4 linked regions of the Diceros bicornis minor genome follow. The protein of the gene in region 1 interacts with the protein of each later gene in a pairwise test. Links are inferred from orthologs where the notes say so. Each region holds a gene or a part of one and is shown in the gene's direction. Other genes may lie near its edges. The genes, in order: SMAD4, ATF7IP, EWSR1 and RASSF5.

Evidence for each region.
Region 2: the proteins of SMAD4 (region 1) and ATF7IP interact in a two-hybrid assay, tested with the Homo sapiens proteins (2 studies listed by BioGRID and IntAct). The link is inferred for Diceros bicornis minor from reciprocal best matches to the Homo sapiens genes SMAD4 and ATF7IP.
Region 3: the proteins of SMAD4 (region 1) and EWSR1 interact in binary tests that used the Homo sapiens proteins (3 or more experiments, as listed by UniProt). The link is inferred for Diceros bicornis minor from reciprocal best matches to the Homo sapiens genes SMAD4 and EWSR1.
Region 4: the proteins of SMAD4 (region 1) and RASSF5 interact in binary tests that used the Homo sapiens proteins (3 or more experiments, as listed by UniProt). The link is inferred for Diceros bicornis minor from reciprocal best matches to the Homo sapiens genes SMAD4 and RASSF5.

What each region holds. Positions count from the first base shown.
Region 1 is NC_080755.1:43,330,662-43,339,195, forward strand, and holds the start of SMAD4 (mothers against decapentaplegic homolog 4), read left to right. Parts: upstream 1-5,007; 5' UTR 5,008-5,400; intron 5,401-8,534. UniProt on the Homo sapiens protein: In muscle physiology, plays a central role in the balance between atrophy and hypertrophy. When recruited by MSTN, promotes atrophy response via phosphorylated SMAD2/4.
Region 2 is NC_080756.1:46,823,138-46,830,951, reverse strand, and holds the start of ATF7IP (activating transcription factor 7-interacting protein 1), read left to right. Parts: upstream 1-4,677; 5' UTR 4,678-5,598; coding exon 5,599-5,615; intron 5,616-7,814. UniProt on the Homo sapiens protein: Recruiter that couples transcriptional factors to general transcription apparatus and thereby modulates transcription regulation and chromatin formation. Can both act as an activator or a repressor depending on the context.
Region 3 is NC_080774.1:22,947,648-22,955,576, forward strand, and holds the start of EWSR1 (RNA-binding protein EWS), read left to right. Parts: upstream 1-4,483; 5' UTR 4,484-4,585; coding exon 4,586-4,598; intron 4,599-7,929. Other genes in the region: RHBDD3 (rhomboid domain-containing protein 3), read right to left, coding at 693-1,076, 1,729-1,918, 4,337-4,483. UniProt on the Homo sapiens protein: Binds to ssRNA containing the consensus sequence 5'-AGGUAA-3'. Might normally function as a transcriptional repressor. EWS-fusion-proteins (EFPS) may play a role in the tumorigenic process.
Region 4 is NC_080743.1:99,554,317-99,561,911, reverse strand, and holds the start of RASSF5 (ras association domain-containing protein 5), read left to right. Parts: upstream 1-4,214; 5' UTR 4,215-4,219; coding exon 4,220-4,685; intron 4,686-7,595. UniProt on the Homo sapiens protein: Potential tumor suppressor. Seems to be involved in lymphocyte adhesion by linking RAP1A activation upon T-cell receptor or chemokine stimulation to integrin activation.

The sequences.
Region 1 (8,534 bases):
TCACCCATGGGAAGCTCTGCTTCACAGGAGGTAGAGCCATCAACGAAAGTAAAAGGGAAAGAAAGCTTTCAAAGCCTTTGCCTGCTAAGGTCAGAGATGGTTGTGAGAATTGAGATGTTTCTCCTGGAGAAGTCTCAGGAAAAGTGGTAGCTTAGCTCCACTGAAGTGCTCTGGGACTGTGGTCTTTAACACTTCTTGCTTGCTTACCTCCTAAAGAAATTTTAGAAACTATGTTTCTTCTTGTACTTTTAACGGTCAGATCTAAAATGTTTCATCTTAAATTTAAATGATGACAAAGTTTGTTATTTCTGGCATATTATAAGTATTGGAATTTTAAAATAAGATTGTTACATCATTCTTTAAGTGTATCCAAGGGAATGTAAATATCATAATGCATCTACCATCCATTTAAAAGATACATGAACAAGCTTTTCTTTAAAAGAAATTTTACATCACTCTTTTTCTACTTATCTTGTATTTCCTTTCAACTTGCCCCTGGAACATTTTAATGTAAGATTTTAGACTGGAAAGTCTTTTATCAATCAGCCTATCATATTTCCCTATAAAAATTTTTAAAAAATCTTTTGACTGAGTTTCTAAGTTTAAAAAACTCATCTTGATTTTATCATCGATACAATTTTGAATACCTCATTGATCTAAACAACATAAGATATTACAAATTTTGATAAACTATTAAAATTAAAGTGTAGAATATTTTTGCCAGAATGAAATAAGATTAAGAATCAATTCTAGGGGGCCGGCCCCGTGGCTTAGCGGTTAAGTGTGTGCGCTCCACTGCAGGCGGCCCGGGTTCGGATCCCGGGCGCGCATCGACGCACCGCTTCTCTGGCCATGCTGAGGCCGTGTCCCACATACAGCAACTAGAAGGATGTGCAGCTATGATATACAACTATCTACTGGGGCTTTGGGGGGGGGGGAATAAATAAATAATAATAATAAAAAAGAGACCGTGGGAGACCCTCTCAGCTGAAGACCTAAAATATGCCAAAGATATAACATTGTGTGTGTTGTTATGATTCTATTACATATGTATGTAGTCTTACATACACATCATATTTGGAGTGTTTTTGAACTTTATATAAATTGTATCAGATGGTATGTATTCTGCTGCTGCAGAATGGGAGGAGAACTAGAGACAAAAAGTATAGAAAACTCGTTTGGAAGTTTTGTTGCAAACGAAGCAGAGAAATGGGGCAGTGGCTGACAGTGGAATTGGGTCAAAAAGAAGATTTTTGTAGGATTGGAGAAATAATAGCTGCTTATAAGCTTATGGGAATCACCCAGTAGAGAGGGAAACACTGATAGTATAGAAGAGGGGAGATAATTGCTGGAGTGATGCTGATGATCTTGATTAGGCAAGATGAGATTGGGATCTATTGCCTTAGCAGAGGGACTGGCTTTAGCTAGGAGCATGGAAAATTCAACTATGTAACGGAGGGGAAGGTGAAGAAGAGGATTCTGTGGAAGTTTTTGTCTCATTGCTTCAATTTTCTCAATGAAATAGAAAGCAAGGTTATTAACTGAAAATGAGGATAAGAGGGAAGGAGGTGTAGGTTAGAAGACAGAGAAGGTATGAAATCCAGAAGAATGGAGGAGGGAAGTAGGATTCCTGGGCAGCACTAAGGGCTCACTTGAGGTTCACAGTGATAAAATTAAAGTGAAACTAGTCAGTGTAATTGTGTTTTTCTCTAGCCACATTCAGATGCAGCGGTACTGGCGTGGAGTAGGTGGAGAGCTGGCTTGAATCAGAATTGTGGTTTTGTCCAGCAAGCACAACAAAGAGGGAGGGGAGTAAGCAGACTGAGGGTATGTGCAAGAGAATGATTGTAATGATTGGCCAGGGGTTTAAGCTGAGTTAAGGATGGGAGAGAGCGGATACGTAGGTTGAAGAATTGCTGGAGTCAGAGTACTACAAGGAAATATGGAAATATGAGGTGGTGTTCACCATGTGAGATGTTTGACATTGTGATTATAATGAAGTTGCCAAGTTTGATAAGGCTCCTGTAATTATGCCCATGAGAGTGAGTGGCTGAGTTAGGGTAGGACAAGATCTTTGGAGGAGAAGTCAAGGAACTGAGAGGTCAGGGTATTGGGAAGATCATCTAAGTATATATTATAAGCACCTAGAATTAAGACAGAAGTGGTATTGGAGTGACTGATAGGAGCAAACAGTGAAAAAATGAAGGGGAATGAGAGCAACGATGAGGATTACTGGATAACAAGATTTAAAGCTGCAGGTTAGGGGCCGGCCTGGTGGCATAGTGGTTAAGTTCATGTGCTCCGCTTTGGTGGCTCGGGGATCGCAGGTTCGGGTTCTGGGCACGAACTACACACTGCTCATCAAGCCATGCTGTGGCGGCATCCCACATACAAAATAGAGGAAGATGGGCACAGATGTTAGCTCAGAGCCAGTCTTCCTCACACACAAACACACAAAGCTGCAGGTTAAAAGGAAGGGGAGAGGAGGATGGTCTGGAAGCAATGTCAAGGAGCAAGGAGGACACCTACCCCACCTCCAGGCACAGTTGAAGAGGCTTATGGTTGAAAACATAGCTGCCACTACTTGAAAGGGGGAAAGGGAAGCAGTGTCCCGGGGAAAGTCACGTTTTCCTTAAGCAAGAAGGTGAAGGGAAACTGAAGAGAAATTCTGAGGGAGTTGAGTTTAAAGGGATTTTCATTTGCATAAATAAATACATGGTGTGGTGGACACACTCTAATGTAGCTCCATATTATTCCTGCCTCCTGGTGTTCATGCCCTTGTGTGGTGTCCTTCCTTTGAGCGGGGGTGGGACTTGTGATTTGCTTCTGGCCAAGAGTATGGCAAAGGTGACAGGATGTATGTGATTACATGTACGTGCTTATGTTACATAAGACTGTAACTAGGGTCTTGCACTGAGGCTCTCCCCCTTGCTGGCTTTGAAGAAGCAAGCTGCCATATTGTAAGCTTCCCTATGGAGAGGGCCACATGTCAACGAACTGAGGGGGACTCCAGCCGACAGCCAGCAAGGGATTAGGGCCCTCAGTCCTGCAGTCTGCAGGGAACTGAATGCTGCCAACAACCATGTGAGCTTGGAAGTGGATCCTTTCCCAGTCAAGTTTCACTCTGTGATCTTGCAGAGGACCCAGCTAAGCCATGCCTAGACTCCTGACCCATAGAAACTGTGAGCCAATAAATGTGTGTTGTTTTAAGCTGTTAAATTTGTGGTAATATTGTTATATACAACAGATTAATACAGATGGGAATGGAAGAAGTTTAGTTATAGCAGTGTTACTTAATTCTTATAACTCCTTCTGGGGTATATGGCCTAAGAATCACATGTTGATCTATTATCAAATCACCTGGTTAGATCTTCTTTCAATTTTTTTTTTTTATAATTTTATTTATTTATTTTTCCCCCAAAGCCCCAGTAGATAGTTGTATGTCATAGCTACACATCCTTCTAGTTGCTGTATGTGGGACGCGGCCTCAGCATGGCTGGACAAGCGGTGCGTCAGTGCACGCCCGGGGTTCTGAACCCGGGCTGCCAGTAGCAGAGCGCGCGCACTTAACCGCTAAGCCACGGGGCTGGCCCTCAATTTTGTTGATAGCAAAGAACTGGAAACCAGCTGACTTGCAAAAGAACTTATAACTCATTCATTTGGGTCATTCACTTTCTCAGCACAGACACCAATTTTTGAATTGTCCCTTTGAATTGCCGTGGAGGTTTTTACATCTTGGGTCGATACACCTTAGTAATGGGTGTGAGTGTTGACTTTTTTTGTAAGGTGGGAGAAGGACAGTTTTGAAAGAGAATGCTGTGTCCTCAGGTGCTTTCCCAAGCTGAGCAATTTTAGAAAATAGTACATATAGCGGTGGAAGATCTGGAAATGAATTCCCTTAAAACTAGTTTTGGAAGGTCTTCATGAACCCCAGGGGTAAGGGAACATAAGTGAATATGATAGTTTAGAGGCTTTCTGGTAGAAGGGGGAAGAGCCCAGGCTATGATGGTGAGGGCAGCATGGGGCTAGGGGGCGGGGCACTGTGTGTGAAAAGTAGGAGGGGGACTAGAGAGTTTCTGGGCTACAAGACTTAAGAAATGACTTTAGAACTTTCCAATAATTAGTCTTGGTGAGATCTCCAACGGAACTATATCCTGATTGGTGAAAAATAATATATAACTAGTACATGTTTTCTGAAACTTTTTAAATGTAAAAGAAATGCATGCATCTTGTAAAGTTTTCAAAGAAAAGAAGTATAAAGTCAAAAGCACAGTTTATGCCTTTCCTTACCCAACAGGTAACCTAGTTAACAGGTGTGTAGTAGGTCCTCGAAGGTCCCTTCAACTCTGAGGTTCCGCCTAAATCTCTTCCAACAAGAACCACTCACTTTTCCTAAGATCTGGCCAAGCTCTCAAATGTGTGATTCCTTGACTCTACTGTGCACGTCTTTAACCCAAAAGAGGGAGTCTCTTTAGTGTAGATACTTTTGGATCTAGTGATCCAGGGCTAGTGGAAAGGGAAGGATGGTGCGGTGATCGCCAGTTTCTTCCCAAAGTACACCGCTACAGCACCGTCTCCCCAGGGCTAGCGGTTAAAGTCTAATACTTAAGCCCACGCAGGTCCTCAAAAAACAAGACCCGCCTGATCGCTATTTATAAACACTTACTGGATGCCACTATACGCCGAGCTCTCCAGCGATGCTTGGGCACTTTGCACTTTTTTGGAGAGGGATGCCAATTTCTCTGATGACCACTCCCTGCAAACAACCCCCCCCCCCCCCCCGCACCATTGCGCGGCAGCGCGCTCAGCCAGGGCCTCAGCCCAGGCTAGGACTCCGGGCAGCCCGCCGACTGGTGGTGCCCCGCAGGCGCCTGCGCAGAGCTATCCACCCGTCACTAGGGGCGGGAGGCGGGGGCAGCCGGGAGAAAGGAAAGCTGCGGGGAAAAAGGGCCAAACCCTGAAATTACCCGGATGTGGTCTCCGCGCGCGCATGCTCAGTGTCCTTTCGACAAGTTGGCAGCAACAACACGGCCCTGGTCGTCGTCGCCGCTGCGGTAACGGAGCGGCTCGGGTGGCGGAGCCCGCGTTCGCGCCCGCCCGCTCTCCTCGGGAGGCCCTTCCCGCCCTCCCCTCGGCTCCGCGGCCGTCCAGGGGGCGGGAGCGGGTGAGGGGAGCCGGGCGCCCCGCGAGAGAGGCCCCCCGCCGCGGGGCGGCCCGGGAGCTCGAGGCGGCCCGGCCCGCGCGGGCAGCGGCGCGGCCCCGAGGAGGGGCGGCCTGGCCCGGACGCCTCGGGGCGGGGGCCGAGGAGCGCTCCGGGCCGCCGGCGGAGCGACGGGCCCGGCGCCCCGCGGACGAGCCGCGGCGGGAGAGCGGACTCCCCTCGCCATCGCCCGAGCCCAGGTAACTCGCCATGTCCCCTCCCCTTCCCCCGGCGGGCCCGCGCACCCCACCCGCGGCTTCCCCGCCCCGGGGCGGGCTCCCGGCGGCGGGGAGCGCGCGGGAGGCCGGCGGGTCCGCCCGGAGAGCGAGCGCGGCCGCCTGACGAGCCGGGCCGGCGGGTCGCGCTGGGCCGCGGTGCCTCGCGTCCCGCGGGCTCGGGGCCGGCCCTCGGGCCCCGAACTCCCCTCGCAGTTTGTCGCAGAATCAAGTTGAACTGGGACGGGGACTCCCGCTGCGGCCGCCGCTCCTCTTTGTTGTTCTGGAGTAGTTTCCCCGTCCTCCCGGCCGAGCGCGGCGGGGCGGCTGGAGCGTATTGCCTTAGGTCTAGAGGAAAGTTATAGATGGTTGGTCTTGATTTCTTTTCTCAAGCAAATTTTTGTTTTCTCTTTGTCCCTTACTTTCTCTTCCTGGTTGTGTCATTCCCGTGTATGTTTCTGGCTTTGATTTGTTTACTTACATTTTGAGTATTGTGGGTGATGGCAGTATGCAGGAAACATTCTTAGCACCTAACTGACCACCCCCCACCCCGCCCCTAATAAAAAAGAGAAGACATAGTTTATCTTATTGCTAGGACTACAAGTACTGAGTGAGATTGGTGTAGGGTGGAGGGCGGTGGCTCCATCACATTCCCCAAACTGCTGTTATGGTTTCTCAAGCTAGATTTTCAAAGAAATGGGTGTGTTTTGTTAACTTGAAAGATTTCTTTGCGGGTATAGAGAGGTTTTAAACAACCCTATTGAAAATTGGTAGCTAGTTTCCCCCTGAAAAGCCAAGTAAAATTTTTTTAAATGAATATATTTCTAATTAATTTATTTTGAGTTTAGTTTTATAATGCCTTTAGCTGTTGCACCATAGTTTTAGGTGAAACTACCAGTTATTTAGGAATAATACATATAAGGTAATGGGGAATCATTTTAATTAGTCTGTATTGACTTTCTGAAGGCATGTAATCTTGGCCAATTTTTGTTGGCAAACAACTTGACAAACTTTGACTTTTGCCAGAATTAGCATCCTTTTAGTGTCAGTAGCCATTTGATTATTCGGGTGTTTCAAAAGCAGGTTCAGTACTTTTTGCTGGAAGAAGGCATTTAGTGTTAATAGAAAATACAGAAATGCTTATTTTCATAAAGTAATTAGGTTTAGAACGTTGCATTTGAATAATTTTAATTGCAGATTTCATAAATTGCTTTTACCGTGTTGTACTGAGACTGTATTTCAGTTGAAATGTAGCGTGGGAAGTTCTAACGTGTGTAACTTTTTTTTTTTCCTGCTAAGGATTTATTTTCTCTTTTGGAAAGTTCTAATATGGTTAGTACATGATATTTCAAGTTGTAAATGATTGATATAATTAACATTTTAAAATCTGATTTCTTATTAATGTTTCTTCTATAACGTCGTCATGATTTTGTTTTTTTAAGTGGGTTTGTTATAGCACAAATGTAATACAGGCAGGCCAAGGATTTAAGATTTGGAGTATCTTTAGGTCTAAAGGTGGTGATGAATTATGTAGGTTTAAGTTGTTGGAATTAAAACTAAAAGCCTTTCTAGAGAAAATTGATATAACATTTTGTGAGTCTATTAATAGAAGTGGCTTTTTCTTTGCTTTCCAGGTTTTTGGGTGAGGTTACTTTAAAGAGGTATTGCATCTTAATTTTTTTTGTTTTTGAAGTGGGACTGCCTAAGTAGAAATTTCTCTGTTTAGCTAAGTGCCTTCCTTGTAAACCTTGAGCTTAGAAAACAACTGCAATTAGTTTCAGATTTAATGAAAATTTGTGCTGAGAAAGTCACTTAGAAATTTTTGGGAATAAGTTATATGTGGACCATGGACCTTTTCTGATGGCTTTGCTTCTTGAAGCAATTCTGCTTATCCTGGGAAGCAGCAAGTCTTATTTCTAAAAACCAGCGCTTCACTTTCTTAAGCTACATTTTAGTTGAGCTGTTTCTCCATTTGTGTGAATTCTTTTTCTTCGTTGCCCTTCAGATTTTTTTTTCTCTCAAATTAAAGAGCAAGTATTAAAAACTAGTTTATGCTGCCCAGTCACACTCCAGCTCTCCAGTTTGGAAGCTGTTTTTTCTGATTGAGCCAGTGTTATAGTAACATCATTAGACACTATTCTAATTGAGCTGTGAATTGCTGAGGCCTCTACTGGGGCAGTTAACCCTACAGGATCTGTCTCATGCATTACATATAAAATGCATATTTAGTCTTATCTAAAATTTTGCCTATTCTGGTGAAGCATACTTTATTTTTCTTATGTTTAAACTTTACTTATTTCAGTTCTATTTTATCCGCCTCTAGCTCATGCCTAACTTTTTTTCATTTTTCTTTCAGTGATTTTAGAGTGAATGGTTCTTTAAACATCTTATGTTAGCACCATTTCAGTGCTCATTGTACATGTTTGGATTTCCTTTTTTGTTTTTTTCCTAGAAGATTGTGTAGTTAGAAATTTTTGTTTTGCTTAAGTGATGATTAACGGTGACTCTGAGGTGTTGCTTAATCATGTATAAAACCAACCTGACTAAAACTATTTTATGGATTTCATTATTTTCTACACTAAATGAATGTTAAAGAAGTTAGATAAGCATAGCACAGAATTTAATACAATTTTGTTAAATTATCAAATTTTGGGCTTTTTGCTCAACAGTTGATGAAGATTCTATTGTTTTCAAAAGAGAAATTCAGTTGACAAATATGTCTAGATATTCATTTGAGCAACTTTCAGTATGATGCTTTTTGCATCGTAATATGCCAAAACATACTTGATAGTCAGTCAGATTTAGAATTTTTGGATTTTTTTTCTATTCTAAAATGTGTAATTTTGGTGATGGGAAATGTGGCTGAATTCCAGTTTCTCAGGAACAAGGTATTTTAGGTTGTGTCACCTTGACACTATTACATGGTATGATTGGCATCCAGGAAAATTTGTTTTAATCATGAGAGTAGATTAAAACTAGGGTAGTGCTTACCTATGTAAAACTAAGATAACAGGTGGTCAGAATCTTATAATTTAAGTGTTATTTGCTACTGCAAGTTATATCCTAGGTCAGATAGATAGCTACCAGAGACTGATTGTAAAGAGTGTCTGTTGTTACAT
Region 2 (7,814 bases), on another chromosome or scaffold:
TCCCAATGACATTAAAATAAAATGTTAACCACAATGAAATCAGTTCATTTAGTCCTAGGTAATTCTTGTTTTATTGATCTAGGGTTAAGTAATCTACTTACACAAAGTTGTCTGCACTGGACTAACAGAATCATGGGAATTCTGATCTCTTCTCTTGATACAATTATGACAGATGTTGATTCATGAATCTAATGTCAACTTTATACCAGGATGCCTGCATCCATGAGTCTCTTCCATGTAATAGTAATAGTTAGGATGATTTGGTACAGTCCTTTACTTAGGATTTTCTGATATTTATTTAGAAGATAATTTTTTTTTTATCAGGTACAATGACAGCAAGGATCTTGACTCATTTTTGTTTCTTGAGTCTCCTTGCTGTAGTCTGGCCTAGTTGCTCTCTATGTCTGGTACACCAGTGTCATCCTTAGAATTTTATTCATCATTGTGAGGATTTCCTTCACCCCTCTTCTGTGTAGGACCCTTGTTTTCCATGTGTCATGTCTTTTTATTGACTTATTCTGTCATTAGGGGGAGGAGATCATATTCTCTAGTGGCTTTTTGAGAAAGAGTGTGTGAGAGGCATATTTTTTGAGACCATGTGTGTCCGAAAATTGTCATTCTATATTTTTATGCTTGATTGATAGTTTGGCTAGGTATAGAAATCTAGGTTGGAAATTATTTTTCTTTAGAATAAAGGCACTGCTCCAAGATCTTCTTGCTTCTGTTACTACTGAGAAATCTGAAGCCATTCTTATTTCTGACTTTCTCCTCAATGGAAGCTTGTAGAATCTGTTATTAGCTCCAGTGTTCTGAAATTTCACTGTAGTTCCTTGAAGTGGGTATGTTTATCATTGTTTGCTGGCATTCACGGGGCCCTTTCAGTCTGGCAACTCCTGCCTTTCAGTTCTGAAAGTTTTTCTTAAGTGATTTCATTGGTGATATCTTTCTTTAGTCATTCTGTCATTCCAATGTGAATTTTTGGATGGGTACTCCAATTTTCTTATGTTTTGCCTCCTATTTACAACTTTGTCTTTTTGCTCAGGTACATTTCTTCAGCTTTGTCATCCAGACCTTCTATTGAGTTTTTCATTTTTTTTCTATCATGTTCTTAATTTCTATTTTTCATTCCTTGCCTATAGTATTCTGTTCTTGACACATGAATGCAACATCTTTTCTTATCTGTGGATATTAATATTTTTTTGAAGTTTTATTCCTGATAGTCTATTGCTTTTTTTGTTGTGTTTTGAACTCTATCTTCCATGTTAGACTTTTCTTAGTTCCTTTCCTCTTCCTTGCCTGACTGTATAATATGTTGTGGAAGATTAAAAAGTTGATTAGAATGTCTAAATTTGTCAGTTTTGAATTTCACTGTAGGCTGATCTGGGTAGCCCATTTTTGGAGAGCTCCCAAGACCTTAAGGTCTTTTGTCTTGTGTTTGTTCGATACTCTCAGAGAATAGCCTTCCATTTTCATACATGGAGAATAAGAGTTTGATTGCTAGCATTCTGGGAGATTAATGGAGGAAGAGGGCTAGGAGTCTCTGCAGTCAGCACTCAATCCCACTCTTTTTGGTATGTACTCTCATTTTTAACTGTGGATGTTGTCTTCAGACTTTTGCGAGGATTGGGATGAGCAGGTATTCAGTAGAATGTGTTTGGTGAGGGCACCTAGGGTATATTATTGCTTCACAAACAACTTTCATTAGTCCCTTTTTTAATTGCACTGCCCTACTATTTGTTCCCCTCACTCCAATTTCCAAAGGTGGCTAGTTCTTCTAGTTTCTGTATCTTTTGAAACTGCTGCCATGTAAATCAAATTGGTTCTTAACTTGTCCCCAGTGTGACTTGGAATATGGTGTTTGAGGAACTGCTAAGTTAGTTACCAGTGGTTCTACTTGTTTTCCAGCTCCCTAAATCTTTGTAGCTATTGTTTCTTTTACTTTTCTCCCTATTCTTGAGGATTTATGGCTTAAAAAAATATCTTTACTGTAGTTTTAATGGGATTTGAGGACGTGAAATTAGGTGTTTTAAGTTTACCATCTTAATATCCTTCTAATGTTCCCTTTCTCTTTTAATATGTATAATGTTGATAATAACTTGTATAATTAAAGTATTAACTAAATAGATGAAAAATATATTTACTTTCTCCCCAATACAATGAAACCTTTTATTTAGGTTCTATGGAATTTTAAAATATTTTGCCTATGCAAAGTTTTCTAATAGTGTGATATAGGATATATAAAAAGTATAGTAGTTGACTAGAGTTCATTCTCTTCTAGTTCTTTTTCACTACTACTTGTGTGACTCCTGGCAAATTATTACATTCTCTGGTCATAAATATTTGAGATTATAGCATTCTTATTTTACATAGTCATTGTAAGAGCGAATGAAAAAATTATGCGAAAAGTGCTAGTTTTTATTTAGGAAGAGATAAAACATTGGGTAATCCTGGAAATATTTGCCTAATATTAGAAATAGCTTCCAAATGTGTTTGCTTTTACGTATAAATGATGATTGGGTTTATTAGACTGCTCCTATCTAAAACAAATTTCTTATAATCTATCATATTATATAATCAAGCTATATTCTTTCTTAGTAATATTAAAAAATTTAAAAGTAAATGACATACTTATGTTCTATAATTTTCTCTAGTTTTTCTTCAGAGTTCAACTGTTCTGAGCACATAGTACCTCCTGTGTAGTGCCTATGAAAACACTCTAAAAACTGAAAAATACTCTACAAAAGGTATTTTTTCCATCTTGGGTTTTGAAGTGCAGAGCTTTTTTAGGCCAAGACTAAAAACTTAATTGACTTATTAGTTGACGACTTCTTCTTCCTAGAAAGTAAGAGTTGAGATCTAAAAATGAAGTTCTTAAAGATATAGAATTTTCTAAGATTTTTGTGGTAGAAATGAAAACACTGGGAATTAATTTCAACTCACTATTGAGCAAATAAATATTGTGTTTCACACTATAGAAGTGAGTGGTTAATGAATTAAGATATAGTTTCTGTCCATTAGGAACTTATATATAAAGATATAGGTAATGAAATTTGTTAAGTATAATGATGGTATGCATAAAAGAGCAATTACACCTGGTTTGGGGGATGGGCATAATAAGGAGAAAGGAGAGTAAGGAAAGGATTGTCAGTGATAAAATTTAGGTTGAATCAAGAATAGGATTTATCGGGTGAACCAAGATATTTTCTTTGGGCTATAAAGTGAAACATGGTGGTGGTGGCACCAGTTTTCTGAATGACAGCCTAACCATTTTCCTTTCCTAAACTATTTCCATGATGCACAGAAACAGAACCAATGTGGAAAGGGATGGACAAAGTTCCACAGGCTCGGGCTGAGTGTAGTCTAGGATGTATGCAGCTCTTAGCACTTTGGTGAAGTTATTTAATCTCTGAGCTTGTTTCCTTGGTCACGAATTGGAGAAAAACCTATCTTGTAGGGTTAGTGTGAGAATTAATTGAGATAATGTATATAAAACTTATCTGAAGGCTTGATCCATATTAATGTACCTCCCTACTCCTTTGTCTTTTAAATTCCCTTGCATGAAGTAGACAATTAACATATTTATTGATTTGACTTAATGTGCCTTGGGATAATAGAGAAAATCTAGTAAATCAGTAGTGAAAGGATTGTAGTGGCTGGAGGACGATTGGTATAATGATGAAACTTAGATTGTGTCTCTTATTTTGAAATCTAAATTGGGTGAAAAGTAGCTGTTATAGCCAGTAATAGTAGCCAGCAGCTTAGCTTGCCCAGGAAAGCTTAGACTGAGAAAAAAGTAGTCAGGATTTACATTGGAAAGGTATTTGGCAAGACCAGGGAGGCTTAAAGGTTGAGGGGGTGCTTTGTGCATTTGACGGTGCGTTACATAATTTAAATCTTGGTGGAACAGTCTTCCAAAAGAATCTGCTTCCTGAATATCAGAAGCTGTTCATCAGGCAGCTCTAAATGTTTTGGCTATTTGTCCCCTGTTAACCGTACTCACATTCCAGTGCTACAGAAATGTCTGTTCTGTTCGAATCTTACCAAGGTCTTGCTTTTACCGATTAGATTTGAGCCACCCTCAGAGAATCACAGTTTTTGAAGAATTAATGTGGCTTGGATCAGGTATAACATTTTTTGTTTCCTGACACAGGACCTAAAGCAGTTTTTATATACACTATCCAATTTGCCTCATGGAGAATAAATAAGGACCTTTTAAAAGCTGAGTAGTTTTTTTTTTTAATATTTATTATGGAAAATTTCAAATGTATACAGAAATAGAATGAAATAATGAACTCCATGTGCCCATTACTCAGCTTGAACAATTATCAACTTATGGGGCCAATCTCCTTTTAGTTATACCCCTATTACCCCTTACACCCTTAACAATTGTTTTAATAAATACCTACATCTAGTGGTGGATAGAAACAAGAAAGCCCAGGGCAGCTAAATTTTAGGAAGGTAAACCAAGGAAGAGAGAAGGAAAAGGTGAATAGCTGATGTGAATTATCAAGCAAACAGATTCTTTCTGTGCTTTTGTTCTTCACTTCTCTTGATGGCTAGGTTACTGCCAAGACAAATTTGTAGGGATCTCTCTCAAATTTGTCTTGTTAATATACCCACTTTCAGACTGAATTTTACCCTTTTGGTCTCTTTATTTGTTTTTTCCCCAGGGGTGTCTACATTCTTTATTTGCTTTTTCTCATATCAAAATGCTGGGAGGTCTGTGGCAGGGCATGAAATTTAATTTGCCCTGGGACCAAACACTCACCTGGAAATGTCTGACCATCTGGACTACAGAAGAGAAGAGATTATTTTTCTTTTTATGGCAGATTACTCAAAATAACCTTTGTTGCCATCATAGCTGTAATGACTCTGGTCCCTCACCAGCAGTTATTTAAAATTATTGTCAAGATTCAAAAATTTGATTGCAAGCTTTAACCATTCTGTTGGATTTGAGCACTTTGGGGTTTAGATTCTGTGGGGAAAATCTTTAATTAGCCTTCTATAAGTGGAAATTGACTATCAGGATTTAAACATCTTAATTTTCCAGAAATTGAAAAAATTGGTGCTCTTTTCATGATAAAAGTACTATAAAAGATTTTTTAAAAAGGGGGCCTTGAGCAGGGTTTGACTTTTTTTTCTGGACTGAAATGGAGGCTTTCTTTCAAGCGAATTCCCTGATGTTTGCTGTGTGTGATTTGGCTCTATCTCTGTAACTGCTAATATGTGGCGTGGACTTCAAGCTGTCTGGGATCTGGATGTGCCCAAAGTCTGTACTGCAAGTCGGGTTTCACAGGCATTATGTTACAAAACTGGCTTGCTGCCTTCTCTGTTTTCTCTGTCCTGAGTAGCTGCATTGTTTGTTGCAGTATATGCATTAGCTGTTGTCTATGTTCAGTTTCCTGCAGGCTGAAAAAGTGGGAGGGGCTTTGTTTGATTCATAGCTGAGTTTTCACTGTGTGAGTTCTTGAGTGCACATTGCAGCCATCTTAATTACACTTTAGTGCAACTGAGACAGTGCAGCTGTCTCAAAATGGCTGCTAACCTAGTCTTTGTAGCTGCTTAGGCAGCAACTATGCCAGTGAGGAGACTTGTCACATGCATCAGGACCAGAGGTAAGAACCAATTACTCTTTATCTTTGAATATTTTAATTAAAAAACATTGTAATTTTACTGAGTTTATATAGAAAGATAAACTTAGGGCTTGCTTGCTAAGAAGTTGAAATGTTTGCTGATGGAACCTTTAAGCCTCTGTTATGGAAACAGTACATAGGTTGGTGAGGTCAAAGGTTAAATTCCTGTAATATCTCACCATCTTATGTTCGGTCATTGCCAGAACATTTGATCACCACAGTAGTGCTTTTCTGGCTGTAATTAACTTAATATTCCTTTTGTGTTGGATATTTTAGTTTGCTTGATATTCATTTGTAGCAATTAAAAACAATATATTATCTGAATAGATTTTTTAAAGAGAAGCCATAAATAAGCCTTGTTTTGCACAAAGAATGCGATTTTCCTGGGTTTTTGTGTGCATGTAGTTTGGAGATATTGTTTGGTAGCTTTCTGGAAAGAATGTTAATTCTCTGGATAGTTAGATAATTCTCTCATAGTTAGAGAAAGAAAAAAATTTTTTAACAACGTTAGACTTTTTTTTGTACTATAGGTTCCAGTTCTTTCTCATTATGCTGCCTCCTCCCGGCCATCCAATTCTTTCACATTTTTAATGGTGCTAACTTATTATCCTAGTTACTTTTTCCTTAAAAGTGGCATTTGGATTCAGATTTTGAATTTAGAAATAAGTTCACATCTTCTAGGTCTGGACACCCCTTTTCTTTATAGCTAGTGTATTCTAATGCAACAGAGCTGAGGTAAATACTGAGTTGTTTTAGTTAACTAAGTGTTATTAATTATTGATGTCTATTTTAGTCTTAGTTTAAACCTGTGGTATATTTAAAAGTAATATAACTCAATGATTTTGTAAATTTAATTTCAAAATTCTCGAAAAGATTTCCTAACATTGTTCTGAAGTAGAAACGTTTATTGAGATATTGTAAGTCCATAGTGACCCAGAAAGGTAGGAGAATGAAATTCATATTTGCATAATATTTCAGATAGCAGAACAGTTATACTTCAAGCACTAATGTTTAAATCACAGTACTTATTAAAATTTTTTCTAAATGGTATAATACATTCCTCTAGCTTTGTCAATAGAGTATTATGAATATATCCCTGACTAATATGACATAGAACAGTAAGTTTTGAACTTTATTCTAATTATAGCAACTTTTAAAAGACAACAACTTTTTGCACATTAAATTCTTATGAAGGACCCCAGTAGATAAAAGGGCTACATGTGGTATTTTATTGTTGTGTAATTATTTTATAATGTACATTTATAACATTTACTTATTATAAGTTTATTTAATAAAATGAGAATAATTAGGCTGTTATGATTAAAACAAAACTTTGAAATCAGATCATATATGACAATTATAATCTTATATTAGTGTCAGGATCTAGGTCGCTTATTTGTAGAACTCCAAGCGCTAAGGGACTGTGGAATTCGGTTTGAAAAGTATTCTAGAACGTATATTCTTTATGTTCTTTTTTGATTTTCATGAAGGTAGAGCGTGAGACCTATGTTTATACAATTTAACGGTTTAAAATTGCTGCCTTCCACAAAATTGTGTTTATATTTGTTCTTAGTTGTTTTTTTTTTAAATAAAATAATTGTTCATTTGTTCAGTGGCCTAAAATATATTTGGCATCACTAGCTCAGTTTCATCAACAGCTTTAGCATGCTTATCTCACTTTCATTAACTTATTACTTTGTAAAGTTGTTAGGACTATTTTATGTGATACAGTGGATTCTCATAAACAGAACATTACTTCATGTAAATCCAGCCGGAAGAGCTTGACCCTAAAAGAGAAAAAGAAGACTGAATTCATTATGTGTGAGAGATTCTATCCATCATTCCTTTCAATAAGGTTGTGCCCTGGAGTGAGTAAGACATAGTAAAGTGAATGTGCTTAATCACTCTTATTTTCATGCCTCTCATAGTATGAACAGTTCACTGGATTTCAAAAATTTCATACAATTCAAACCAGCTACTTGGTTTCATATTCTTTATTGCTGGAGAAAAACTGGCTAGGTTGAAATTATTGATCAATTTATGTTAATCTTCAGAGTAGGACCTCAGGGAAATTTTAATGATCCACTCTTTCTGCCTTCTATTACGGACTATAAAATTTACCTCCACCCTTCACAAGATGACTCCACTGATTATTTCTTGTACATGGGGAAACACCAAGAC
Region 3 (7,929 bases), on another chromosome or scaffold:
AGGTGGGGCCAGATATGCCTCACCCCAAAAGCTGTCTCATCCCGTTTCAGCCACCCCCTGCCCCGTTCTGTTCCCAGAGCCCTGTGGCGTGCTCAGGTCTGTGACTTGAGGCCAACTCTTGGGCCCAGTGACATATCCCCTATTGCCCTCAGCCAGGGAAAGATGCTGCCCATGCTCCAGGATTCAACCAGGCCTGGGCAGCTGGCATCCCCAGTCTTAAATGCCTACAGGGGGTCAGCCTGTGCCCACTGTTCTCTCCAACTGCACTGTTTTCCTTGCCAGGCACTAAGTATCTTTGGAGCAAGAGCCTGTGTTGAACACACCTGCACCACCAGCCAGAGGCGGCACCTCCGTTCAGTGCCCAGACAGCCCCAGGCTCACTCTCACCCCTGGCCTTTGACCTTTCTGTGCCCTCTGCCTGGCCCACTCTCTCCTTTTCCACTTCTCTTCACCTGAACTCCTCATCCTGCACATCTCAGTGTAGATGCTGCCTCCACTGAGGAAGTCCAGGTTAGGTGCTTCTTTGGGCCACTTCGGCACCTCCACCCGGCCACGAGCCCCCAGAATGTGTGTGCACAGGTTCCCAGCATTGTTGGGGCTACCTCCTTGTGCCACTTCCTTTCCAGGCACCCTGGGGGCCCAGCCACAGAACCCACATGTCCGCATGGGCCCTCGGCCCAGGCAAAAGATACAGGCCAGGCCAGCAAGGAGGCCGCAGAAGAGCTGTAGGAAGGGTGGCTCGGAGCTGAGCAGCGGCGTCAGGGCGAGCAGCAGCCATGGCAGCAGCCGCGGTGGCAGTGCCCCATGGGGCCGTCTAGGGTGACAACCCTGCCCCGCCAGCATGGCCAAGTGGACAGGCATGTATCCGCAGCCACCGGCTGCACTGGACACCCCGAGGCCTGCCAGCAGCACGGCCATTAGCCCGGTGGCCAGGGCGAGCAGGGCAGAGGCATGCAGGAACCGCAGTGTGCCCAGGTGGCACTCCTGCTGCCAGCCCAGTGTAGGCAGGAGCAGCAGGCTCAGGAGCAGGCCGGGTAGGGCCGTGTGGCCCAGGGCATGGGTCAGCAGCCGGTGCACTGGGGGAGAGAAGGGGTTTATGTGCCAGGTTAGTGGCCCTAACCCCCAAGGCTGTCCCAGGTGTTCCAGGTTGGAAATTACGCTGCAAGGGCCACCTGCTAAGCCAGCCTCCCCTCTCCAGGAGTCAAAGTCTGCCCATTGCCAGCACTTTAATCATGCATGCAGGGGACCAGGACCAAGGACCTTCAAACACTGTGACTGCTCCCCTGCTGTATTAAACAGAACAAGCCGGACCCAACGCTCAGTCTTCTCAAAAGCAACCAACTGTGCACGAGTCACTTAACCTCTGTGAGCATTAGCTGGGTTCCTCAAATGTAAATAGAAGCTGCTGTTATTACTGGGAAACAGGCACTCAGCTGGGGTCACTCCTCGAACCCCCAGCACCTCCTCCCCACTCTCATGCTTAGCTGAAAGCCTTAGTTCTTATTTCCAGCAAAAGTCATCAAAAAGGGAAGTCATCTGAAAAGAATTCCTACCCACAGGCTCCCACCCCTCTGCTGGCCCCTCTGCTTTCCCTTCTTGGCTGTGAATGAGCTGGGCATGCTCCCGTCCAAGGCTGACCTTCCCCAGGGCACACCACTCCTGCCAACTGGTCTCAGGCCCTACAGCAAGTCTCCTGCCTCCTCCAAGGCCCATGTGGCCAGCCCTCACCTTGCCAAGGGTCCAGCAGCAGCTCTGGGGCTAGGGCAAGGCTGGGGCCAGCCCCCACCAGCCACAAGCTGCTCATGAGCAGCATCAGGACCGAGGAGGCGAGAGGCAGCGCTGGTGACAGTAGGCCAGGGGGGCCTCTGGCAGGCATAGCTGGGCTGAAGGTGGTCAAGGGTGGTCTTCGGGGTGTGTGCTAGAGGCAAAGGAAAACAATAAGTTATTTCTGCAGCTTTTCTTTGATTTCCTTTCAACCACCCTACCAGCGGCTCCATTTTACAGAAGTAGAAACTAAGGCTGGAGAGGCAGGCCCAGCAACTTGGCCATGGAGGAGCTCGGATCCTAACCACGTTCCTAGCCATTTTGCCATCCCATCTGCCTATGTGTGAAGACGGGGAGGGGCCAGGCCAAAAGGGCCCTGAGCCCTGATGGGCCCTAAGGAGGAGTCTGGGGTGGGAGGCACAGGGCCAGGGAAGTTTAACGGGGGCCCTGGACTCCCAAAAAGAGGGGTGGAGCCCCCCATGGCAAACTCAGGGCCATCTCCAGCTTTCCTCTGCTTCCCTCTTCCCTCTGGTTGTGGACCAGCCACCTTCCTCCCTCCTCCCCTCCACCGGGCTCAGCCTTAGGGCTCCAGATGGCCCCAGCTGCACTTAAGGGAGGAGGTGAGGCCAGCCAATGGGCAGGCAGATTAGGGAGGAGGCGGGACAGACTGGGTGGAGGAGGGGCAACAGGAGTCCCTCACCCTGAGTGCATACAAAATGACACCGGACTGACACATCCCCTTCGTGAGTCCTGAGCACAGCCCCTCCAGCCCTAGCCCCTCTTCTCACAGGAAGGTTTTAGTATCCACTCCACTTCTTCCTGCTGTGCATCCCTGGGCAAGTTTTCCAGCCTCTGAGCCTCTCCTTCCTCATCTGTAAAATGGGGATTAAGAAAATCCTTTCCTTATAGGATGAGAAAAAGGAATGGGATAATGCAGGGCCGGGCCCACAGACCCTGCTCAATGAACTGCAGCCATCCGCCTAATTGTGGGAGGCAGATATAGCCAGCAGCTGGCCCACCAAGAGGAGGCCTCAACATAGAGGCAACTGCTCCTGCCTAGCTGTTTCAAGCTCTGGCCCTCAAACATGCCAATTCCCTGCCCACAAGGCAAGGGTTTTTCTTCCTTGTTCTCTTCCCTCACATCTAGCCTGTCCTCCAGGCCCTGCTGGAACCCCCCTCACCCCTGGCCAGGCCTGCCTCAGGACTCCCACGGAGCTGATTTCATAGGGCAGGAAGCAAAATCCCACAGAGACCCAAAGGCTGCCTCACCTGCTCCCTTGCTTAAGGGCATCCTCAGCATCAAAACCCACCTGCCAGTTTCCTGCAGGAAAAATGCAGAAAGCTCCTCTGCCTGCAATGTCCTTGCCTCCATCTCGCCAATAGGCAAACTCCTATTCACGCTTTGAAGCCCAGCTCAAATGTCCCCTTCCCCTCCTCTGGCCCCCCACATCATGGATCTTAGCCTATCTAATGAGCACAGCTTGGCCTTTCTCCTTAGACAGGTGGTCTGAGCTGGGGAAAAGGGGTGCTCTTACTCATCCCCCAGTTCCCCCGGGTGCTCCCAGCACATAGCTGGTGCTCTATATGTGTTGACTGAAATAAAGCCACTAGCTTTGCTCCAGGTCCCACTGAGGGGTTTGGGTGAGCTCTGCACTTCCCTGGGCCTGGGAACCTGCCTGGGGAGACTGGGTTGAGTCCAGGAAGGCAGACAGGTGCCAGCCTTGTCCGGAGCTATGGCACCCACTGCCAGCCTGCTTTTGCACCCTCACAACCATCCCTCCCTGGGTACCTCAGCAAGAGTTAAGGACTTGCCCATAGACTAACAGAACTAGGACTTGAGTCCTCCGGGCCTCAGTCTCTTCATCTATAAAATGGGGCTGTGCACCATCAGGCCCTGCCTACCTTACTGAGAAGCCAGGAGGACAGAATGGGAAGATAAAGACGGGTAAGAGTCTTCCGGGTGATGAAGAGAATGGGGGTCCCAAGGTGTAGGTCAGACTCAGCTTTGTGACTTTAGGAAAAGTACCCAAATTCCCTGGACCTCAGTTTCCCCTTCTGTAAAAACAAGAGTTTTGGATGGGGGATATTAAAGGGCCTTCTCAACCTCGACCGTTACCGGGGAGGGGGGGGCGGCTCTCGGGCCGGGCACCACATTCGGGGCCTCCCATCCAGCCCACCGGCCTCAGCCCCCTCCCCCGCCGGCCTGGGCCACGTGTCGGAGTTACTCACTGCGGAGCGCGCCCCCCGCCCCCGGAAGCCCGCGGGGGGCTCCCGCCTGGGAGTCGGGACTCTAACTTCCCGCCACGGCGCGAGCGCCCGGAGCCCATTTTGTTCGCAGTCGGGCGCGTGACCTCTGCCGACCGGCCGGCGCACCACCCCCTCCGCCGCCGCCCGCCGATTAGTCAGCAGTTGTTCTAGGCCCGGGTCCCTTCCCCCAACCCTCCCGCCGGCCTCCGTTTCCCTCCAAGGCAGACTCTTCAGAGACGGTCCCTAGAGCCAGCGGACGTAACCATTCCGTACGACTTAGCCTCGTGCGGAGAATCACTCCGGCTTGATACCAAGACACGCTCACCGGCCGCTCCGGCCCCTTTGGTGCTATTTTGGCCCGCGCGTCACGTCCGGCGCTCTTTAGAGAGGAATAGCACAAGAGTTGCGGGCGGGAAGGACCAGAAAGCTGTGGTTCATCCCTCCTTCCCCCACCCCCGTGGCCTGGCCCCATGGTAGCGCCCGAGGTTGCGGGTTTCGCGCCTGCGCAGTGCGGCGCCTAAAGGGAAAGCGAGAGGGAGACGGACGTTGAGAGAACGAGAAGGAAGGAGAGAAAATGGCGTCCACGGGTGAGTGTGGTGGAGCTGCGGTCGCGCCGGCGACGGCTGGGTCGCCCAAATCGGGGGCCGCTCGTCTCTGGGGGTGGCCGGGGCAACTAAGTGGAGTTGCTGAGAAGCGTGTGAGGTACCCGCCGCGGCCCGACGAGCTCGAGGGCCCGCGTTCCCCTCCCCTCCCCCCACCGAGCAGGCCGGTTCTGGAACCTTCTGGCGCCCCCGGCGCGCGGGGGGCTCGCGGCGGCGGGGGCGCGCGGGGCTCGCGGTGGTCTCTATTGTGTGGCGGCCGTCGGGTCCCGCGCTCCGGGCCGCCCGCCACGTGGGCGGGGCCTGCGGCCTCCCGGGCCCCGCGTGGGGGGAGAGGCTCGGCCAAGCCTGGAGCCTGGCGCCCCGAAACCGGAGGCGGGGGGCCAACGGCGGCTCTGGGGCTGCCACTCTGACCCTCCCCACCCCCATTTCCAGGGAGGCGGTTCGAGCTGGAAGGCGAGTCTGCCTCAGTGAGAAGCCCGAGTAGGGGGAAGCATATCAACAAAAAAGGCATCGCGGGTCCGTGGGCCGAGGGGCGCCGACCGATGAGCGGGAGCCCCGTCATCCTGATGGCCGGGTCGGCTGGGGCGTACGGTGCCGCCGAGCTGCCCCTTTGGCGGGTTCTAGCCCCGAGCCGAACTTTTCTGCCCGCATGGGCTTTAGAGGGAATGTGCTCCCCCTTTAGAGCCTCCCCATCAGCTGCCCCCTGGGCTTCTCCGTTTATTATAGTTATTAATCCCATCTCTTCCCTCCCTCAAAAGTAATTAAGTAGTCTCCTAGGATCATTTTTCAGTAGACGCCGAGGGAGATCTGTTGTATAAGGTCAGCCCGAATCGCGAGGCCAGAAATCCCTCCCAAAAGAAATTTCTGGTCTCTTTGACCTAGGAGAAACAAAAGGCCCGAGTCGGCGTTTGAGTTGTGCTCGAGCAATCGTCTCGCACGTTTATTCTCATATGTTAAGCCGACAGGCTTGTTTATTTCGTGGACTGATAGAAAAGAGGGAAAGGAGGCACACAGTGGGCTTGGAAAGAAAGCTCGGGGTGGGAGCTCGGGCGTGATGTCTAGGGTGGTTCTTGCTGCACAGAGCGTTTGAGAGTGTAGCCTCCACATCACCTGCGGTTTGTTCTAGGGCTAAGCTGTGGTTATTGGTAGGATGGGGCATTATTGCCTCCGGGGGTGTTCTTAGAGGGCCTAATTCCAGGCCCTAGAGGCAGTGGGAGAAGACGAGATAAGACAGGAGAAGCTCTGGGTCCTTCAGAGTTTTAATTCGAAAAGGTTCAAGACTCCAGGAACTTAGGGACAGTTTAAGAACTCTTCCCGAACTGTGTGGTCAGTAAACAGGCAAGTAAATGCTGGCTGTTAGTGCCAGGGTACAGAGTGCCCCTAGAAGAGAGGACTCTGGAATACCACAGTCCAATACACATCCTGGTGGGAAGTGGTTTCCTTAGAGGCCTTTCCACCTTCCTCTTCCCTGCAGTGTTTGAATTATGTAAGGGGGAGTCAGAATGTGTATGTTGAAATTTTTGTGTGGCTGGACGTGCCAATTTTTTGGTCTATTTTGCTCAAACTCTCTTTACTGGTAACCACCAGGTACTGTGTTAGAATTACAGTTGTGGTTTATGTAGACACCCAGCAGTAGGCCTGGCTGGGGAACCTTTGGAGAGTCCCGCAATTTATCTGGACTTTGGTTTCCTTTCCTTTGAAATGGAGGAGTTAGGCTAGATGTTTTAAGAGCTTTTTAAGCCCTTAATTTCTGTCTTTACAGCAAAGCATTTGGGCTCCCACAAACTTCCCCCATACTGACTTTAGCTTATTATGTGGTATGAAGCTCTAAATCTCTGCAGTTTGGATACTGACTGCCCTAAAGTATCTAAAAGCCACTACCTTGGATAATGCTCCATGTTTTTCCTACTTATGTATATCATATATAGAGAAGTACCTAAAGTGTGTCTGGTTTAACAGAGAATTACAGTGCAAACTCCCAAGTAACCACCTTTCAGACCCGGAAATAGGACACTGCCAGCACTCTAGAGGCCCCCCTGGATCACAGCCCCTCTCTCCTCAACCTGGCCTGTTATTTTTAGTGAAATCTTCAGCTGCAAGTTTGGAGGTTAAAAGCAAAACATAACTGATGGCTAAATAATCTGACCAGTGTGTAACTGGAACGTTTTTAAGGCGGTATAATAGTGTTTATGTGCAGTAGGTTGATAACATAAGTTCTCATGAAACAAATTTGCTACCTCACTTAGCCGAACAATGTGGGGCTAAATCTGCTGATTTCACACACACATCGGAGATCATTCGCTGTTCCACATCAGCTTTGCCAACTTTATGTTTTACATAACTCTTCTTGTGTAAAAGTCTTCTTGCAAACATTGAACTTACATGTCAGTGATTTAGAATCATTTCTCACGTAGAAACCTCAGCAAAATGTAGGTTGAAATATTTTGATTTTTGATGCCTCACTGGTGTGTTTGTGAATACCACATGGAAGAAGTGATTTGTATTTACTTTTTATATGCCACAGAGAGCATAACTTGTAGTGCTATTGAAAATGCCTTAAGTTTTAACCTTAAAATGTCTTAGGGTCATCTTGGAAAAATCAGTTTGTTCATTATACATAGCCTTTGGGCATTTGATTTGATCATGTTAATGATTCAGGGTTCTGCGTTAAAGATGTGTACAGAGGAAGGAAAGTAGTCAAGTGAGGTGTAGAGAGGTAGAAAGATGAGCCAACTTGAAAAGATGGATTCAGGAAAATGCTCTGAGGCCAGGTGGACTGTGAGGCAGGATGGAGTTGAGGTAGAAACCCCACCATGAAGAGCTGAGATGTCAACTGTTGCTTTCAGATGAGGGACTACTTTCTGGTTGGAAAAGAAAGGAGCCTTTTGTTCAGCCCTATTGGCAGTACTGTTTTCTAACAGAATAAGATATGTATTTCTTGTGGAGAGCAAAGAATTAGGTAGAATTTTTAAAAATAATTATTTTAACTCCTTTAAATGTAAGCTTAATTCAGTAGTGCTGTGAAAACTTCATAACCATTTTATTTTCTGTTTGTTTTCACTACTCTTAGACACCTCACCGGACCACAGTTTTTAGTCCCTTTCTGTGCATGTTGTAAATTTCATATGAAAAGGAAAATTATAGAAAGGTATACTTAGAGAAGAGAGGGAAAGAAAATTTGTGATTTTATTTTTTTTTTTTAAGTTGAAATCACTTTGAGTTTTAAGAAGATGGTGTTACCTAAAACCAGTTTATTCCCAGAAAGATTAAATGCTTTCTCCTCTGCGGATTATCACAATTCTACGTTAACTCTGCT
Region 4 (7,595 bases), on another chromosome or scaffold:
TTTTCCTATTCCAAGCACATGGAAGGATAGCACTTCTTGTTCTCCTTGTGTTGTTGTTGTTAGTGCCAACGAATCAAGAAGTGGGGGACCAGGTCCTTCTTCCTAGTCTGTCTTAGTCTGGAAGGCATAGCTTTCAGCATCACAGCAACCACCACGGTGTGACAATCGACAGATGAGTGGTGTGGTTCTCTGACTGGGAAACGAACCCAGGCAGCAGCAGTGAGAGCGCTGGATCTTAACCACTAGACCACCAGGGCTGGCTTCCCCTTGTGTAGTGTGCGCTATATAACTAGTTCTGGCCAGTGAGTTGTGAGCAGAAGTGACTGGAACTTTGAAATGCTGATGAAGGGTCCTCCAGGCCCTCTGGGTTTCCCTCTGGCATGGTGACTGGCAACATTAGACGTGGTGGCTCCATCAGCCTGGGTCCCTGGGTGGCATTGATGAACAGTCTCCCTGCCAACTGGCAAAGGGCACATAATGTGAGTGAGAAAGAAGTCTCTGGTTTAAAGGCACTGAGATTTGGGGTTGTTTATGACCACAGAGTACGCTCACCTGCCCTGACAGGTCCAGAGATCCTGTGCAGGCAGCAGTGCTGTCAGAGTCACCGGGAGGGCCCTAAATGCTTCGGGGATTTCAGGCGACTTCAAATGCCTCAAAGCCAAACAAAACCAAAAACTTCCCCTTCAGAAAGTCAGGCCACATTCTGTCCTTCCCTTTTCCTTCCTACTAGGAAGCTCAGTGGGAGTTGTGGGACAGCCTTGAAACAACTTGCCCAATACGAACACACCCTGGGACCACCTCTGCAGTGACTTCACATGCTGACCACACACTCAAAATAAAAACAGCACACCCACTCTTCTGGGAGTGAGTCACAAACAGAAAAAAGTCCACGCTCTGAGCCAAGGGGATCTGCTAACATGGGGGAAAGCTTCTAGTGGAGATGTCTCAGCTCATGCTGGGGTCTCACCCTTGTAGCCCGCAAGACCAAAGACCCATCCTAACAATTCTGAAGTTCAAGCATCGTACACTATCCCAGATACTGTCCCGACTCTACAATGAGACTAGAGTTTATTTAGTACTTCTTCCCTGGGGAAGGAGGAATGACTTGCATATGTGTGTGTGTGTGCGTGCACGCACAAGCACAGGCGTGCATGTATGTGTGTGTATTGTGGGAGGGGATGCTGTTTCAGGGAAGAAGGAGACTAGGCTGGGAAAGATGGCATCAGAGGAGGCAAGTCCCAGGCAGGGAGCCTCCCGTTGGGGTTCAGGGGAGGCAACTACTTCCCCGACCTCAATTTCCTGGCTCAGGGAGATGAACCCTAAGATAAACTTCATACACTTTTTGGATTGGTTACATGAAGTTACGTTATCTCCATTTTCATCTCTGTTCCCATCCCAGACGCCAAATGTAGGGCTCTGACCCTGCCTGGTCTCCTCCCCCATTCAGTGCTGGGAACAGCCACCACCACTCCTCCAGATCGGAGCTGCAGCAGGAAAAAAAGACCAGAGTGTTTTCTGGACAGTTCAGAACCTGGGCAAGGGTTTATGTCTGACTATTCCAGATAGTCCCCACTTTCCCAGGGCCCGAGGAGACACTCTTCCCATGAGCCTCTCCATCCAGGGAATCTGGGCTGGGCAGCCCATAATCATGCTTGGGGGTGGGGAGGTGGAGGGCAAAGATGTGATTGTTGGCAATTATTTCACCAATGGCACTTTAAAACCGGCCTTCCAGTGGTGAACTCTTTGCCAGGTCTCCTCTTCTTCTTGCCACACTAAGCTGTCACCCAGAACTTAAGCTGGGTCCACACCCTGGACCTCACCCAGTCCAATGCCCTCCCAGGAGGGAGTGATCTCCTCCAGACGTGTCTCAAGCCTGTGGAGAGGGGTGGATAGCAGAGGGTGGATACCAGCAAATATTTCCATGCAATGCAGGTTCTGCAACAAGCCCAAGAGAACTGCTTGCAGAAAAAATAGGAGAGAGAGAAATGAGAGACCACAAAGGCAAACTGCACTTTCCTTTGTAAACATTCAGCAGAAAGCATTCAGAAACAGCCCCCTCCACCAAGTTTTCCTCAGTCACGTCCCACTGGACCTCACCTACCCCGTGGAGAAAAGAACAGGGAGGCCCATTCTGTTATCACCACGTTAGATCTAGAGCAGTTGGGGCTTGGACCAGCATCATCAACATCACTTGGGAACTTGTTAAAAATGCAAAATCTCAAACCCCAGCCCCAGACACACCAACTCAGAAACTCAGGTGGTGGAGCCCACTAATCTGGGATTGAAGGAGCCCTCCAGGTGAGTGGTACACAACAAAGTTTGAAAACCACTGATGTAGAGAGAAGTTCAGACCGGAGAGGAAGGGTGGAGGAGGGAGCAGAGGGGTGGCTGGTGGCTCACAGGTCCCCATCCCAACTCCTTCTGCTCTGTCGCACTGCAGGGCTGGCTGCTGTGGGCATTCTTCTCCTCTGCCCAGAAACCACCTCATGAGCTGGGAAGCTCCAGACTCTGGTGAGAGCTGGGGACGCAACATGTCCTCTGCTACAAATGCGGTGGCAGAGGCCTCTAGGAAGATCCCTACCAGGAGGGAGAAGCCATGGACCAGAGCAGGCTGGGAATTCCCCAGCCACCAGACTAGAAATGTTAGGAATTATTGAAAAATTACCTCCAAGGGGGAAAATAAAAAGCAAAAGTGAAGATTGCCCTTGCAGACAGTAGGGGGAGACCCATCTTAGGCCGGGAAGAGGAGGGAGAGCCTCAGATCTGGAAGAATTGAGACATTTCCAAAGTTGGTTGCTGAGACCTCTGCTAGATCAACCAAACCAAACCCCAAGCGTTAAGAGGACGGCAGTGATCACTGAGTCAGAGTGGTGGGACTGGAGGAGACTGCGAGAGCATGTCCCTGTCTCCTCACTCCTGGATCAATGTATAGTTGAGAACTGCAGAGGCTAGAGAGGGCCCAGAGTCATCCAGCTGGTCTGCGTCAGGACACGGAGGTACAAAGACCCGGGAGCCCGGGAGGCGCCTGCTTCCCATCATGAGACGGGGCTGTCTCCATGGGCAAATGTGCTGGTCAGGGCCGGCTACATAACGTGCGGGACCAAGTGCAAAAACAAATGCCGTGCCCTTTGTTCCAAAATTATTGAGACTTTCAAGACGGTGACAGCAGGGCACTAAACTGCGGGGAGGGGTTCATGAAGTCTGCCCTGGTGCTGGTAGAAAACGGATCTCTCTTTGGATCTCACAGGTGAACTGTTCACACCAGATGCAATGTACGGCTTTGGGGGGACCGGTGTTTCCACAGGAATCACCAGAGCAGCTGTGGTGAGAGGAGGGTTTGACTTAGTTGGAAAATCTTTCCCAATCCATGGGGCGCTGGAGCGTTCTCACAATCCAGGATCCACGATCACCATAACCCCAGTCTTCCGAGAAGGGAATATCCTACCGGGCAGGGCTGCTGAGAGGGGAAATCCAGCAAGAATGAAAGTCGCACACGGACAGCCTCGCCCGCGGCGGAGGCGGCTTCTCGCGGCGGCACGAGAAGCGCCCCCGCGCTCGGGTCCCTCCTGGTCACGGGACTCGGCGCCGCGGCGGGAGCGCGAGCGGAAGCGGGGCGTTCGCGACCCACGGCGGGGTCGGCTCGCCGGCGGCTGCGGGCGGCGAGGGGGCGGGAGGAGGAGCAAAGGAGCGTGTCCCTCCCGTCCGCGTGAACCCCGGAGGGTGGCGGGCGGACATCCAGCCCGTGGGCCTCTCCTCACATCCCATCCTCAGCCGGCTCCTGAGCCCTTGCCTCTGCCCTGCTCCCTCCCCTGGGCGTGTTGGGGTGCGGGTGGCGGGGGGATCTGCGGTGGGGGAAGTGATGGGAGAGGGAAAGAGGCAGGGCTGAGGGTAGACGTCCCCTCCAGAAATGCCTCTTTTGAGTTGTACTATAGAGCCTTCCCATACGAAATCCTTCAGCTGCCCCAGTTGTCCAGGCGCTTCTGAAGACGCCCCTAAATCCACACTCGCTCAGTACCCCCCCGCCCCCTCCCCCGCCAACCCTGCGCTCGGTGGGGTGGTTCCCTCGGGTCGTCCTTCCTGCCTCTCCGAAGTCTCCCCGCCCCCGCCCCGCCCCGCAGGCTGCGGCCCCTTTAAAGGCGCGCTGGGCGGGCGGCACTGCTCTCGAGGCTGACTCGGGAGGAGCGCCACCGCCGGGAGCTGCCGCCGCCGCCAGCCGGGCATGGCCATGGCGTCCCCGGCCATCGGGCAGCGCCCGTACCGGCTACTCTTGGACCCAGAACCGCCGCGCTATCTGCAGAGCCTGAGCGGCCCCGAGCCGCCGCCGCCGCCGCCGCGGCCCCCCGGCCGGTCCTCGCGCCGCTGCGCCCCCGCGCCCCTCTCCGCTGCGCCCGGGGCGCACGAGGGGCGCGGCGCCCGGAGGGCTGCCCGGGGCGACCTGGAGTCCCAACTCCGGGCCTCCCGACCCGCTCGCCCTCTGCGGCCTGGTCTGCAGCAGAGACTGCGGCGGCGGCCGGGAGCGCCCCGGCCCCGCGACGTGCGGAGCATCTTCGAGCAGCCGCAGGATCCCCGCGTCCCGGCGGAGCGAGGCGAGGGGCACTGCTTCGCTGAATTGGCGCTGCGGAGCGGCCGGGGCTGGTGTGACCTGTGCGGACGAGAGGTGCTGCGGCAGGCGCTGCGCTGCGCTAGTGAGTGTGCGGGCCAGGCAGGGGAGCGGAGGGGCGCGCGGGAGGACCGCAGTCCGCGGGCGAGGAACTGCGAGGGGCTGGGGCAGGACAGCGGGCGCATCGCCCTCTCTGGCTCCAGGGGAACTTGGACTTGAACGAAGGGAGGTAAGCCCTGGGGACACTCTGCTCCTTAGTCCCCTGCCCAGTATCCTCTAGTGACTGCCTACTCCCCGGGTATGGTCATGCGGTATTTAACAAACACCTCTTCCCCTGACAGGTGCACGCCTCGCCCTTCCCCAGACACACACGTACACACACACACACACACACACACACGCACACACACGTGTGCGCGCACAGATTGGGGTTGATGGCAGCAGGGCAAGGTCATTCCATTGTCCCCTGCGCACCCTCCTGCTTTTGTTGTAGGTTCTTGAGAGTGGGTTGTGAGACTGGTATTGAGATGGCCTTTTGACCCGTGGCAAAAAATGGCTTCTTTGTCTGTCTATGGTGCAGCCCCACAGTACACGGACACTTATGGTATACCCTTTCTCCAGGGCGACCTGTTGGGATAGGGAGGAGACCTGGTTGGGCTTTAGATGGAAACGGCTATGAGGCTGAAGAGAGCCTGAGGTCACCCTGGACCTGTGCCCCTCCTGCCTTCTGCCTCTGGCCCCTCAAACCTTTGGACTCTGCTCTAACGTTTGGCTGTGTCCTGAGCTGGCCTCCTCTTCCTCCTCCTCGGTTACTGCACCAGTCAGTCATCATGCTCTGAAATTACCTAACTCCTGCCGGGTCCCTTCTCCCCCAGAGCTCTCAGGCCCCTCTAGCCGCCTCCTGAGCCAGGCTCTTCTCAAAGACTGACTAGAAAACACTGGGCACCCAGTGTGTAAATTTTCTGAGCAAATGTGCGGTCTTCTTGGAGGTGCATTATTTTTCTCTTCCTACAGTTAGGTGTGAGTGTTCTTTAATGGGTGCCCCACCTACCCGCCCTATCTGCTCCTGCCATGTTTGGCAGAGGGTATCCATCCCCATGTGTTTATGTGTTTATATAGGTATTTTAAATATCTGAAGCACAAAGCACAGACAATGGCACAACCTCTAACAAGGGTCTCTGGAAATGGGTTGTGGTTTGCATCTTTTGGCAAAAGCCCTTCCCCTGTGAGCACAGCCTCACACTCCCATCGGACTGCAGCACCGGACAGCAGCAGCTACTTCCACCTCAGGAAAACCCTGCCTTGCCTCTCTCTGCAGTCCACAGCCGAGGCAGCGTGCCTCTACTGCAGCTGGCCGCAGGGGAGGAGAGCTCAGACTCTAAGCCAGGATCAAGTGGAAAGGGAAGGTTGGAGGGGAAAGTGGGTGCTGCTTCCTCCAACCCTGGAACTCACAGTTCAGGTGCTAATTAAAAAGGAAAGAGCAAAAGTTATAGAGATATATGTGTTATGGGTGGTGCTCTGCTGTTACTTGATAAATGCCCCTGACCTTACAGTAGAATCTAATGCAACGTGCCCATGGACATGTTGGCAACTTTTGCCCTCTCAAGGGTCTTGGGGTACTTTCCTGCATCCACCAACCCTATATTCATAGAGACAGGCAGGATCCTCACTGTAATGGGTTTTATTGTGCTGGAATCCCAGGAAATCCGCTTCGTTGGAATTCTAGTCTATTCGGATGTTTGGGGGCTGTATCAATTGTTGAACATTTTGCACAGAGTTTTATGATTTGTTTTTTTGTTGCGATAATGGTGTATTTGTGTGTGTTTGTATGTGCATATGTGTGATACTCCATGATTAAATGAAGTTATGCTCACTTCACATTAGAATTTATTTCCTTTGGTTAGTTTATAGTTTCTGGTGGCAGGAAGACCCAGGTACATGGGCAGTTTGTCTGACTTTGTGTGAGACTTGGTGAAGTCTCTTCGTTTTCCTGGGCTCCTGTGGCCCTCACGCAGTTGGCTTAATACCAACCAGGGATGTCTGAACACCAGAGAGGAGCAAAGCTGGAATCAACGGGCTATGGAGAGGAGTCTCTGTCATTATTAATGTTTAACTAATTGTGGACCTGTGGCTGGCTGGGGGCAGTTGAGAAATGTTCTGATGTGCAGATGAGGGCTGGCGGGTGGGGACACAGCAGGCCAAGCTCACGGAGCATCTTTCTTTAAGTCGAACAACTAATTCTGTGATGGGGTTGGTTTGTTTTATCTTTTGAAAAGCAAGCGTCAGAAATATGACTTTTAAAAGGCAGTACTGTGCAGTGATTAAGAGAACGGACTGAAACCAGAAGACCTGGGTTTGAATCCTGATTCTGCCACTTAGTCTCTGTGTGACCCTGGGCATCTCTGTGTTCCACTTCTTTGTTTTAAAAAATGGGGATAATAACATTACCTACTGCATCACGTTAATGCGAGAATTAAATCAATTAGCGTATGTAGAGTGCTCAGAACAGTGCCTGGCAAAATGCAATATGAATGCTTAATGTAATGTGAGTGTTATTATTGTCCTTGCCCATCCAACAGGTGTAACAATTTGTCTGGGCTCATGACACTTCCGAGGATCACCTTTCCATGCAGTGATACAGTTTTCAGACTCTGCCTGGTTGCTGAGCCAAGTGGGGAAGTGAGTGCCATGAGCATCCCAGGAAGGTATTAATTGTCCTCTAGAAATGCCATTCCTGCCTGCTGGCTGAGGAGTGTCCTCACAGAATGGCAGTGGCTTAGAGGTCACCAAGACATTGATGCCTTGTCTTTGTGTCAGTTGCCCCCAGCAAAGTGTGAGGCACAGAGCACAGTCTCAATAAGTGGTGGTTGATGAAGGTGGTGGCTTGTTTATTCTATTAAATCTCCCTGCTCTTGGGAACAAGCAGAAGGGCAGTGGGCATGTGAGTGACATCTGCCTGAGCCAGGAGGCTGACACTGGGTGGGAGCCGTGTTGG